3 linked regions of the Schizosaccharomyces pombe genome follow. The gene in region 3 interacts genetically with the main gene of each other region. Each region holds a gene or a part of one and is shown on either strand. Other genes may lie near its edges.

Evidence for each region. Genes that interact genetically often act in the same process or in processes that back each other up.
Region 1: of psl1 (region 3) and clg1, changing one suppresses a phenotype caused by changing the other (phenotypic suppression), as found in Schizosaccharomyces pombe (one study listed by BioGRID).
Region 2: of psl1 (region 3) and pph3, a mutation in one rescues a mutant of the other (synthetic rescue), as found in Schizosaccharomyces pombe (one study listed by BioGRID).

Annotation. Positions count from the first base shown.
Region 1 is NC_003423.3:1,745,257-1,749,766, forward strand, and holds clg1 (cyclin Clg1), read right to left. Parts: upstream 2,561-4,510; 5' UTR 2,171-2,560; coding exon 785-2,170; 3' UTR 521-784; downstream 1-520.
Region 2 is NC_003423.3:3,954,032-3,958,004, reverse strand, and holds pph3 (serine/threonine protein phosphatase), read left to right. Parts: upstream 1-1,918; 5' UTR 1,919-2,075; coding exon 2,076-2,145; exon of another isoform or gene 2,146-2,260; coding exon 2,261-2,715; exon of another isoform or gene 2,716-2,749; intron 2,750-2,768; coding exon 2,769-3,290; 3' UTR 3,291-3,453; downstream 3,454-3,973. Other genes in the region: CIA machinery monothiol glutaredoxin Grx4, read right to left, coding at 1-501.
Region 3 is NC_003423.3:3,301,386-3,304,564, forward strand, and holds psl1 (pho85 family cyclin), read left to right. Parts: upstream 1-1,896; 5' UTR 1,897-1,920; coding exon 1,921-2,652; downstream 2,653-3,179. Other genes in the region: U6 snRNP-associated protein Lsm5, read left to right, coding at 45-168, 215-281, 330-356. UniProt on the Schizosaccharomyces pombe protein: Cyclin partner of the cyclin-dependent kinase (CDK) pef1 (PHO85 homolog).

The sequences.
Region 1 (4,510 bases), 1.6 Mb from region 3:
CACTAGTAGACATACGACGAATGCGCAATAAAACTAGGTAATCATAACAAACAGTTTGGGAGTTGGAAAATCGCAATAAAAAATTTTATGCTTAATCCTTAGAAAACAGCAAGCAAAGGTTTCTCATTTAAGTATCAAAAGGAGAAAAAATAAACAAAATAAGGACAAAAACGATGCCCGAAGTAAAATCTTTGCTAATGAAACAGAAAAATAAACTCAAAGCATCCATGGGCCTTTTCATCTATTCACAATGTATTTCTTGATGAAGCTAGTTGTATAAGTAGACTACTAATTTTTGAAGGCGAACTTTAAAAAGGAAATCCGCGATCCCTATAGTAGTAGCGGATGTATATACATCAAGCAGTATTAACAAATCAGAATTGCATCAAAAGATATTCCAATAGATAACAAAGCCACACGAGAAAGCAAAATAAAAGTCCAACGACAAAAATAAAACAGATACTGATAAGAAGTTGGTTCCTTTTTTTCGGTATACTACTTTTCAATTTTTTTTGGGAAATTTTTTTTTTCTCTGTTAAAATTTGAAAAAATAAGAAAGTAGAAAAGCAAGATCAAACGGCAAATTAATTTCAAGAGAGCCGAATTCATCACGGAGATGATTAGAGAATACAATATGACGGGTTAAACAAAAGTTCCCGTCATACAATATGAAAAGAGAAAAAAGTTACAAGAATAACAAAAACACGTAAAGTGTTTATAAGCGCAAGGAAACGAAAAACAAACCCCGTCAAGCAACAACACCCGCAGAAAGTAAGCACGATCACTAAGTCATTGCATAGCGATTGTACACTGGATAATATCCCACGGGTGTATAGGGATAATAGTAGTTGCAATTAGAGCAAGAACGTCCAGAAGAGGGCGATGGTGGTGCGTTGGTGCTCAACGTAGTAGGGCTATAAGTTTTTTGTTCACCAGAGTATGTAGCGTTTGAGGAAGTAAACAAAGAATAAGAAGCACTCCACCACTCCCATGCCTTTTGACCACGAGGACCGGGACTAAGATTCCAGGACATGCTAGCTAGCCAGTCTTGTTCAAAGCTGTTCAACAAGGCAGTACGGAAACCAGTAACTTGCGACCAGGATTGATTGGTAAACGTATTGTCATCCAAAAACTTATTAGCCAAAATCAAGGCGGTCGTTAAAAGAGCACATATTTGGAAGAATAACGACTCCTTAGTCCACTGGTTTACAAAATCAGTCGTTTGAGATGCGGCGTCAAGACGATCGGAAAGGTATGACAAGGCAAGCAAGCAAGAGGCACGAGGTAAACGCGTAGACGTCAAAATTTGTGTAACGACCTTACGGAAAGAAAACACAAGACCAGGTAAAGAGTTAGCAAGAGAATGCATTTGAGCATTATTCAGGAAACGAGCATACAACTTACAAGTCATGATAGACAAGTATTCCACCATTTGATCCATCTTGTAATCCAGTTTAGCAGCAACACCTCCGGTATAAACGGTTTCTTCCTGATCCTCCATGTTAGTTTTGCAGACAGGAGAAATACGTTGTTGAACGTTAGCAACCGAAGGCATGTTAAGATTACCTGGGATTGTATTATCAGTCTCGGAGGTAGTAGTGGCGGTATTGTTGGTTACAGGCACATCTGCTACGGGATGTCGAGACTGATAAAAGGAAGGAGCACAATTGTTAGCAATCAAAGGGGCGGAAACGTTGTTACATGCAGCTGATACATTCACCGAATTGCCAAATTGATCTTGGTTAGGATTATAGGCAACGGCAGAGTCAGGCATATAGCGTTGCTGGGAGGGTGGTGGAGGTGCGGCAGATGGAACCGACTGATAAGATGGCCAGTAATAGTTTAGAGGCGCAGAAGGGTAGAGACGTGGTTGAGGTTGCTGTAAACGGTGCTGCGACAGAAGGGAAGGAACAGCGGAAGGATGATGAGAGGAGGAAGGGATGGAGAAGCCCGACCTTACCGAAAGCGTATCGGGCACAGAAACGCCAGGTAAGAAGGACGGACGACGCTGGCCAAGACCATACATAGGAGCATGACTCAACAAAGCAGCAACCGAAGAAGCAGAGTTTGCACTATTGCTGGACGAAACAGGAGCAAACATACTCAAGCCGGGGGCAGCCAAAGGAGGCTGAACTTGAGAACGTGAAGTGTGCTGATAAGGAAACGACATTGCTGAAGAATTTCGAAAAGGAAAGCAAATTGAAGAATTAAAAAAAAAATTTTTAACTCCTTTGCTATTCTACCTAATCAAGTCTTTTTCGAGTTTTGTAATCGATTTCTTGAGTACTCCTTTCAAGGAAAGAAGAATACAAAGGAAGAACGATAAAAAAAAATGAAAAAGAGATAAAGAATGCTCAACAATAAGAAATTTACCCAAGAGACAGGAAAAAGACTTATTAACACTCACTTCTAGCAAAACCCGACCAAGGAATGCTTGTTTCGCTGGCAAATAGACGAGGCTTAGTAAAAAGCTCGACTTCTGCAAAAAAACTGCTAATATAGAAGGAAAAAAATAGGATTGAACCCTCCAAACTAAATTTTACGGTGGTTGGTTGTGCGCAGGTTCTGAAAAGCTGGTAACGCAGTTGAAAATGCTTGCAACTTAGGAAAGAGAATTTTTTAGGAATAAAAAATTTCACTTTGTTAAGCACTGAAAAATAGCGTAGCGTTGAAGATTATTCAGCAAGAAAGTTAAACCCAAATTAAGATATCTAACGTAATAGATCGGTTAGATAACTTTATGGATTTTAATTAGCAATTGCCGGTGAGGAAAATTGGGAGCGAGGTAAACAAACAATGGGACAAGCAGGAAAAAAATCAAAGAAAAATAAGTTAAACGTAGCAAGACAAACAATAAGTATGTAAAGAGGAGAATTTGAAAGTTATCTAAATAAAGAAACAACTTGAGAAGTAAAAATCGAGTAGAAAGTGAAATGAAATGGAAGGAGCAATTAAAGAGGAGAGAATAAACAAGAACTGAGTATGATAGACGAAAAGTAGACGGAAAAAAGAAATTAAAGAGACAAGAGAAAATCAACTGGTGGATGTCTTTGTCGTATAAGAAAAGATGTATAAATAGAAATCAAAGATTAAAAAGGGAGGTAATGTTTACTTCAGCAAGTTGAGAAAAAAAAATTCAACAATTAGCTTTTCGAGACAATTTGGAGTGAAACGAAAAAAAAAGTAAAAAATAACAGTAAACAACAAAAACTGAAAAAAAAGGGGAGATGAAGAGCGAGTAAAGAAATCGGGTTTGTAATTATAAAAGGATAAGTAGGGATGAGCGATTAGATGAATGAAAAAACAGAGAGAGAGAGAGAGAGAGAAAAAGAAAAAAAAAAGGATTAAAAAGTAAAAGAAAAAGAAAAACAGACTACAAAATGTAAGCTGAAAAAAAAAAAAAAAAAAAAAAAAAAGTTGTTCAAGTCTCAAGACAGTATACAGTACGCAAACTTTTTTGAATAAGGGCTAACCAAAGCACTGAGTGAAGAGTGTATTGGCAGTTGGGGGGGAAGCCGTAGAAAGAAAGCAAGGCAGATGCTTTATATATATATATATATATATAACTATATGTACTTGAGTAAATAAATAAAAAGATGCGCGCATAAATACAATTGTAGCAGCGAAAGAAGAAAACGTAAACAAACAAACCAATGAAAAATTAGGAAACCAATGACAGCATGAATACTCAGGAAAATGAGAGAGAGAAAACGAAATTAAAAGAGGAGAGTGAAGGCACAGTAAAAGGAAAGGGAAACAAAATAACAAAGCAAAGCCAAAACAAAAACAAACGATGCTAGAAAAGAAGAAGGCGCGAAATCAAGGGCGCGCAAAAGAACAATTAAGAGTGTAGAGAAGAAAACGCGTGAAATTAAAAAATAAAAGGAAGAGAGGAAATGGGGAGGAAGGAAGGAGAAAACGCAAGCAAAGTTTGTTGATGTATATAGGCAAAAAGCCGTCGGAGCCAGAATGAGCATTAACGGAGCACATGAGAGGGAGACAAACCTTGTTGAGTGGAGAGTGGAAGGAGGGAAATGGAGGAAATCGTTAAATGGGATAATGAAAGAGAGAGAGAGAGAATAAGAAAAAAGAGCGAGGAAGAGTGGAGTGGTTGAGGGGAATAGTGGGGTGAAAGGAGGAGGAAGGAAGAAGGAAGGGAATGCAGGGAGTGATCGTTAAAGATTTGGAAGAGAGTGGTTGAATGAAACGGTGAATACGATAGTGAAATAGAAGGAGTCGATATGAGACTACGTGGATTGTCTTGTCTTACTAGTTCTAGGTAAACATCTGTAGCAAAAGATTGGTTCCTGCTGTTTGAAAATCATTTCATTTATTGGAGAATACGGTGGAGAAAGGAAGATCGCTAATAAGAAAAGGGAGAGGAAATTATCATAGGTTATGTTTGTTTTATTTTACATTGATCTATTGAAAGAAGGAGGTGCAGAGCGATTCTTGAAAAGGTCGTTTACGGTACTATGTTAGAAATTGTTAATGAATCTATTGGAAAAAG
Region 2 (3,973 bases), 650 kb from region 3:
AGGAGTACCCTTTAAAAAGAGCATAACATTGTGAGCATTTGTTAGCGTGCTCAACCTTTCATTTAGTTCAGAATCCAACCCATTTGGAGCTTTAGAGGTATTGGAAGTAGTGTTGGTAGTCTGAACGGAATTTACTTGAGTTTCCACGGACGCGTTGGTAGAGGATATTTGGGAGATAAGGGGTTGAATATACTCGTCAATAGCAGCCTTCAATTTTTGAGGATTTGCCCCCGAAATTCTAGCCAAAACTTTTGCTCCGTGGATTAAAACAAATAGAGGAACAGCGTTTACATCAAACGACTCTGCTATATCGGAAAATTTTTCAGCTTCAATTTTTAAGAAAACGGCATTTTTCGTGTCCTTTGCAAATTGATCAAAGACTTGGTTCATTTGCTTGCATGGAGCAGCCCATGGTGCATAAAAATTGAGTAAAATTATTTGCTCTTTTCCATTTTGCAATATCTCTTGAAATTGTTCAACAAAAGTAATTTCGACGCTCATTTCCAATCAAAATAGCACAGCTTGAGGAATTATTTCTTTTCCTACTTTTTTTTTCAAAAACCTAGTTTATTCTTTTTAATCAACAATCAACGCCCTATTTTTTCCTAGTTGGTTGTCGGCAGGTTCGGCTGAGCAGTGTAGAAAACGTATCTAGTAAAATCTCTTCCTTGCACAATAGGCGACGCAAATGATATAATTGCAGCAAAAAACATATCCAAGTAAATTACTCGAAATTTTTTAGTTAAACCACTTTTGATGTACGTTTTGATGATTCTTCTTCACTTTTTTCATTGTCTATTCATTAAACGGCATTCTCGATCTCATTTTTTTAATTACCATCGTGACTGATCAGATAACTTTATCCCTCGGTATTAAAACGTCTGGAAAATAATTTTTTCGGCAAAAAAAACTAGTGTGTTGCGCTTATACTCCGATTCTACGTAATACCCAAACAATTCTGTTAACATTTTATTTTTGTATGTTGTACATAAAATTAACAGTCGCTTTACTAGCCAAATGAGTTTATAACAAGCGACCAAAACAACCAAGATGAGATATGTTTCATACTTGATAAAAACAACAGCATACACATTGATTGATATAGTTAAAGTATTAAAAAATTGCATTGTACTGCTCAGGGCAAGCATTTCTTACACACCTCATTCTTTTGATAGTACGCAAATTGCAGTAAACCATATTGAAAGATAGAAAGAATATATTTCTAAAATCTTTTTAGTTATTTGAACATCTTGAGTTGCCGACTGAACATAAGTAAAGAATAGTATGCAAATTATGTTAAAGCTTCACATAAATTATGGGTTTGCAACACGAATTGACTATACAGTTTTTCTATATTGAGTGTATATTCCGCCACAGGGGTACGCCTTCAGCATACAGATTATTTTACCTATAATTGTGAGTGTTATCTGATTTTTACCAAGAAGCTATAGTGTTATGTAGTTTATTTCACAAAAACCCTATAACATCAAAGCTGCGCATTTGTGCGAACAATTTAGATCCGTTAGAACTATAGGAGTTTTTCTTATAATCTAGATATATATATGAGTAGGTGCACGTTCTTGTATTAGCGTTATAAAAACTCAAGATCAATGATAATACGGCATGCTATAATAATCATACTGGAGTAGCATGCAACTTAATTAAAAGATTCTAGTTCATCATTAATTTTAAGTATAAATGATTAAAAAAAAACAATCTAATACAAAAACTTGTGTCCATTTCATTTCGAGATGAAAGCACTAATAATGGTGGAGCAACCGTATTTTTCTGAAAAACAATCTAGCGTAACGCAACGTATGTGTCAATAAAATTCGGAAGCTGCTAATTAAGGAGGTCATGTTAATTATTTTAAAAGTCATTATCAAAAGGAAAACCGAATTTTAGTCACCAAAGCTCTACGCGTCATACCTCTTGACAGAGGTATTTTGACTTATTTAAAATTAAATTTCTTAAATGATACATAAAGTTGAAAAAGAATTTCACTTGTTTATTTTCTTATTCTAAAGGACCAAGTTATTCTAGTTTTCTTTACTTTATGTTTTGACGAGTTCAAAATGACTGATTTAGATTTGGATTGGCAACTTGAGGAACTGGAGAACGGAAGGTTAATTCCAGAATCAAATGGTATGTATAATAGTATTTATAGAATAACTTTTATCTCCGTCGATATAACAACGATCATTCATATTGGTTGTTCTTTGCCATAATTATAAGAATGGGGTCTAACGTTTTGTGGTAGTTGTTGAACTTTGTCAGCGTGTAAGAGATATTTTAATTGAGGAATCTAACATACAATGGATCTCATCTCCTGTAACCATTTGTGGTGATATCCATGGCCAATTGCATGATTTACTGGAGCTTTTTCGAATTGGTGGGTCATGTCCAGGTACAAAATATTTATTTCTAGGGGATTTTGTTGATAGAGGGTTTTACTCTGTAGAAACATTTCTCCTGTTATTGACTTTAAAATGTAAATATCCGAAAGAGATGACCCTTATCCGGGGAAATCATGAATCACGACAAATAACACAAGTTTATGGATTTTATGACGAATGTGTAAGGAAATATGGTTCTGCCAATGTATGGCGATATTGTTGTGAAATATTTGATTATCTTTCGCTTGGTGCTTTGGTGGATGGAAAGGTTTTTTGTGTGCACGGTGGACTTTCACCAAGCATCAGCAGTATCGATCAGGTATGTTATTAATTCCGAAAATTTGAACTAAACTTTTAACGCTTTTTATGAAGATTCGACTGTTGGATCGAAAACAAGAAGTTCCGCATGAAGGAGCAATGTGTGATCTACTTTGGTCAGATCCAGAAGATATTAGTGGATGGGGTTTATCTCCCAGAGGTGCTGGATTTTTGTTTGGTGCCGACGTTTCTGAAGTTTTTAATCGCGCTAATGACCTTTCATTCATTGCTCGTGCTCATCAATTGGTTATGGAGGGTTACAAAATCCATTTTTCCGATAAAGATAAACAGTATCCCAAATTTACAAATGAAGAGGACTCTGAGCTGGATTCAGATTCTGCCTCACCTGTTGATGATTCTCCGGCACCTGGAGACATAATAACCATTCCAGAAAAGGATAAAGGAAGCGTGGTTACTGTTTGGAGTGCACCCAATTACTGTTACAGATGTGGAAATGTTGCTTCTATATTACAACTTGATGAAAACCAAACGCAATCCTTTAAGATTTTTGGTACTGCCTCTCAAGAAAGATCTGGCATTCCAACAAAACGACCCATTGCCGACTACTTTTTATGATTATTCAAAATTCATTGCTCTACTTCACTTCCCCAATATCATGTATATAGGTCAACTTGTACTAAAGATTATCCCCTTAACTCTTCTTATTGGTCTCTCATTTTTAATTCTGCACTTATTTAATTCTTGTTTATGGAATTTGGTTATTTTAGCAATATTGATTTGTTTAGGACATCATAAATTTAAAAAGTAATTAAGTTAAATTTTAATTGTAACTTTTTTAAGCTAACTTTCAACGCACAAGATTGTTTAGTCGCTTTCTGAAGGTAATTTAAAGTAGATTGCAAAATGCTCGGTTTTCAAACATTAATCCTCATTTGATCGAACTTCAAACCTGAATTCAGAAACTGGGGTGATGAATATCATTTTTTAAGCTTAATGCTGAAAATTTAATATTACATTATTGAGTCAGCTGGTTTGAGTCTTTGTAGTTTAGACTGCACCCCAATTCAACAAATCCGTTAGCCAAAAAATGAAATAAACAATTGGAATTCAGCCTCTGTTTCAATCACTGAATTGTAATCTAATATCATATATTGAAGTCAATAGAATAAAGTCAATGATATACGAGGTATAAACGTAAGAACACCTACATCTTAAACATTCGATATGATAGAAACATTTTTTTCAAATAAATTCTAAGTAATACAGTATCACAAAAAAAAAAAAAAAAAAGATAACGA
Region 3 (3,179 bases):
TATTGATTTATGCCCTGGGTAAATCTGTTCATGCTAACAAGCAGAATTAATTGATAAATGCATTGGATCAAACTTATGGGTGATCATGAAAAGTGAACGCGAATTTGCGGGGACACTTGTTGGATTCGATGATTATGTGAATATTGTTCTAAAAGATGTTACAGAATAGTATGAAATATAATAACTTTAATTATCTTTGCTAATTTCTATGAAGTGATACTGTTACCGGCGTTACCGAAAAACACTCTGAAATGCTTTTGAACGGAAATGGGATGTGCATGGTATGTCAATGAAAATAATAAAGGAATTTTTGTACACTAACTATCTAGTTGATTCCTGGTGGAAAACCCGAATAAGTTGGTACTTGGCTATTTAACAGTCTTTTGAAGATGAAGGAAGAGTGATTTTTGTTATTATCAAACAAATGGAGATATATTGCACGCCAAATCTAGCTCATACTGTGTGCACTCCATATATGGTAAAATATCTAGACCCAAGTCTCACTTTTTACATTAATTGAACAACAAGCGTTGGTAAAGCCATGTCTTCGGATACGGTTAAATTTGATCGAGTTATTTAAAGAATTTGATTGCAAAAATAAGGTATTTTATAGGACTGGTTGCATGTTTCTGAAATGAGTGATTATTCAAAAATAAAGGCTTAATACTTCCATCCTCCATAATTTTTCCTATTAGTGATTGTATCTCAAATTATACTACCAAAATGAATTGTTATTTCAGATGATGTAAACTGTGTTAAAGTTAATTGTTTGAATGTAATCTGACTGTAGAAATTGGCATAAACGGGATATGCATAGCCTACGATGATAGCAATTTTTCTTCTAATTTGAAAGACAACATACTAAACATTGATTTGAGTAGCCTTTACAGGATCTTACTATTCAAGTTATCTCTTCCAGCCCATCTGGTTGAATCATACTGACTTTTTTTTGTTCATGTTGGCCAAAATGGGGATTTATTATGATTATACACTGGAAAAAGTATGAATATTTGTTGTTTATCATTAATATAAACTAAAGTGACTAACCTTGTTATTGTAAACTCAAAATTTTGAGAATTAGTATCTTCAGCAGTTTTATGAAGGAAACGAAAAAGTAAAATTAAAATGAAAACGAAGTTTAATACTTTGGATTTATATATCTCATCATTTATACATTTGGATTATTAAGAAATTTTTGAATCCTCTCTTCCCTTATCCCTAAATAGTTAGAGAAAAACGACAAAACTCAGCTAAAACCATTAAACTTTTTCGTTTTAAATTCCAATCTCGTTGCTTTTAGGACTTGACTTTTTACATAGATGAAAATCACTATCGTAATGCTTTTGCTTTTTTTCTTTGATTTCTTTTTTTTGGCAGATTACAGCCGTCTTTCAATATAAACGCTATATTACTACAGTCTTTGTAAATATTATCTACTTGGTGCGCAGGCCAACCCGATTATATACTTTGATTTAAATCCCATTTAGCCTTAGAATTTTCGTAACAATAGCTCTGGACTCCTAGTAAAACTGTATTGCTTCCTGTATATTTGAATCATAACTCTTTTTTTTAAAAATTAATCGATTTTGAATCAACTAAACTGATTCTTGCGAATAATACGGATTTTAAATTGAGATATAAAAAGTTAATTTATTAATCCTTTTACATTCATCTATCTACTTGAATCAAGAAAAAGTACTATGAAGAAACGCTCGTGATTTAATCTGCAATGTTTACAGTCGAGTTTGTTACATTTCACTAGTGCTTCATAAAAAATTAGCGATCTAAATAAGTGCACGCAACGTTGTATTCCGGTTGACAAGAACACGCAAGATTTCGCAATAACTTAAAGTCTAGGATTGGCGTCACAGACAGTAAAGACGTATTCGTCCATTTACCAAACATTTTTATAATAGTCCTATGTCCTTGGCGTTTACGCTTTTAACCTCAAAAGATAACACAGATGAAGATGAAGAACACTTGGAGCTTTCTTCTTTTAATCAAGAAAAGCTCTTGGAAATGATATCTGTGTTTCTCTCGCGTCTAACGCGTTTGAACGATAGCAAGCAGGAAGCTACTGAATCAGATCAAATACCATTATCTCCAACAAGTTTAAAGAACCCTTGTTTGATATTTTCTGCAAAAAATGTGCCTTCCATATCTATTCAGGCTTATCTAACACGAATCTTAAAGTACTGTCCTGCAACTAACGATGTATTTTTAAGTGTTTTGATTTACCTTGACAGAATTGTTCATCATTTTCATTTCACTGTCTTTATCAACAGCTTTAATATTCATCGTTTCTTAATCGCTGGGTTTACGGCCGCAAGCAAATTTTTCAGCGATGTCTTCTATACTAACAGTCGCTATGCAAAAGTTGGTGGTATTCCCTTGCACGAATTAAATCATCTGGAGTTATCTTTTTTTGTGTTTAATGATTTCAATCTTTTTATATCTTTGGAGGACCTTCAAGCATACGGTGATCTTCTACTTTCATGGTATCGGCAAAATGGGCAGAATTACAACCCTACCGATGTTTCATGCTCTATTGAATCTCCCATTTCCCATACTCCGCAACAAAATCAACAAGATGAACAGCCACGTCGGCCCATAATGGATCGAAGGTTACTCTCTTCTCACTCAATTGGTTAAATTTACTACTGTGTTTGGTCCTCCAAATTTTTTTTTGCTTCCATCTATTTATCTTTATTTTCTGTTGAAAATATTTAATCTGATTATTTAAAACTTGGAAAAGTTACCTTGGTGCCTTTTGTCTGTATATATATATATTTCATTCTGCTGTGTCAATGTGGATACGACTAGTTTCTGAATTTTCAAGTGGCCTTTAAATTTTGTACTTGTATATGCTATTTCTCCTTTGTCTCTTATTTAATGTTTTTATCTCAAAACATGCCGTTTCATGAAATTCTCATTTATTACATTCGGATTATCTGACTTGCAATAAGGTTTTTGGAATTTGGAAATTGCATGCTACTTTTGTATTCGGTATTCTACTTTACGATGCTTACAACGCTTACGGTATATTGTGCTTTGGTTCCTTGTTTAAGTTAAGGCTGTTGTAAAGGTCCGCTATGATCAAAGTCCTTAGCTTACTCCGCTATCCCTGTTCCATTTGTTCCTTTCTCTTCACGTTGCAATTTGTTTATTTCTGCCGCCTA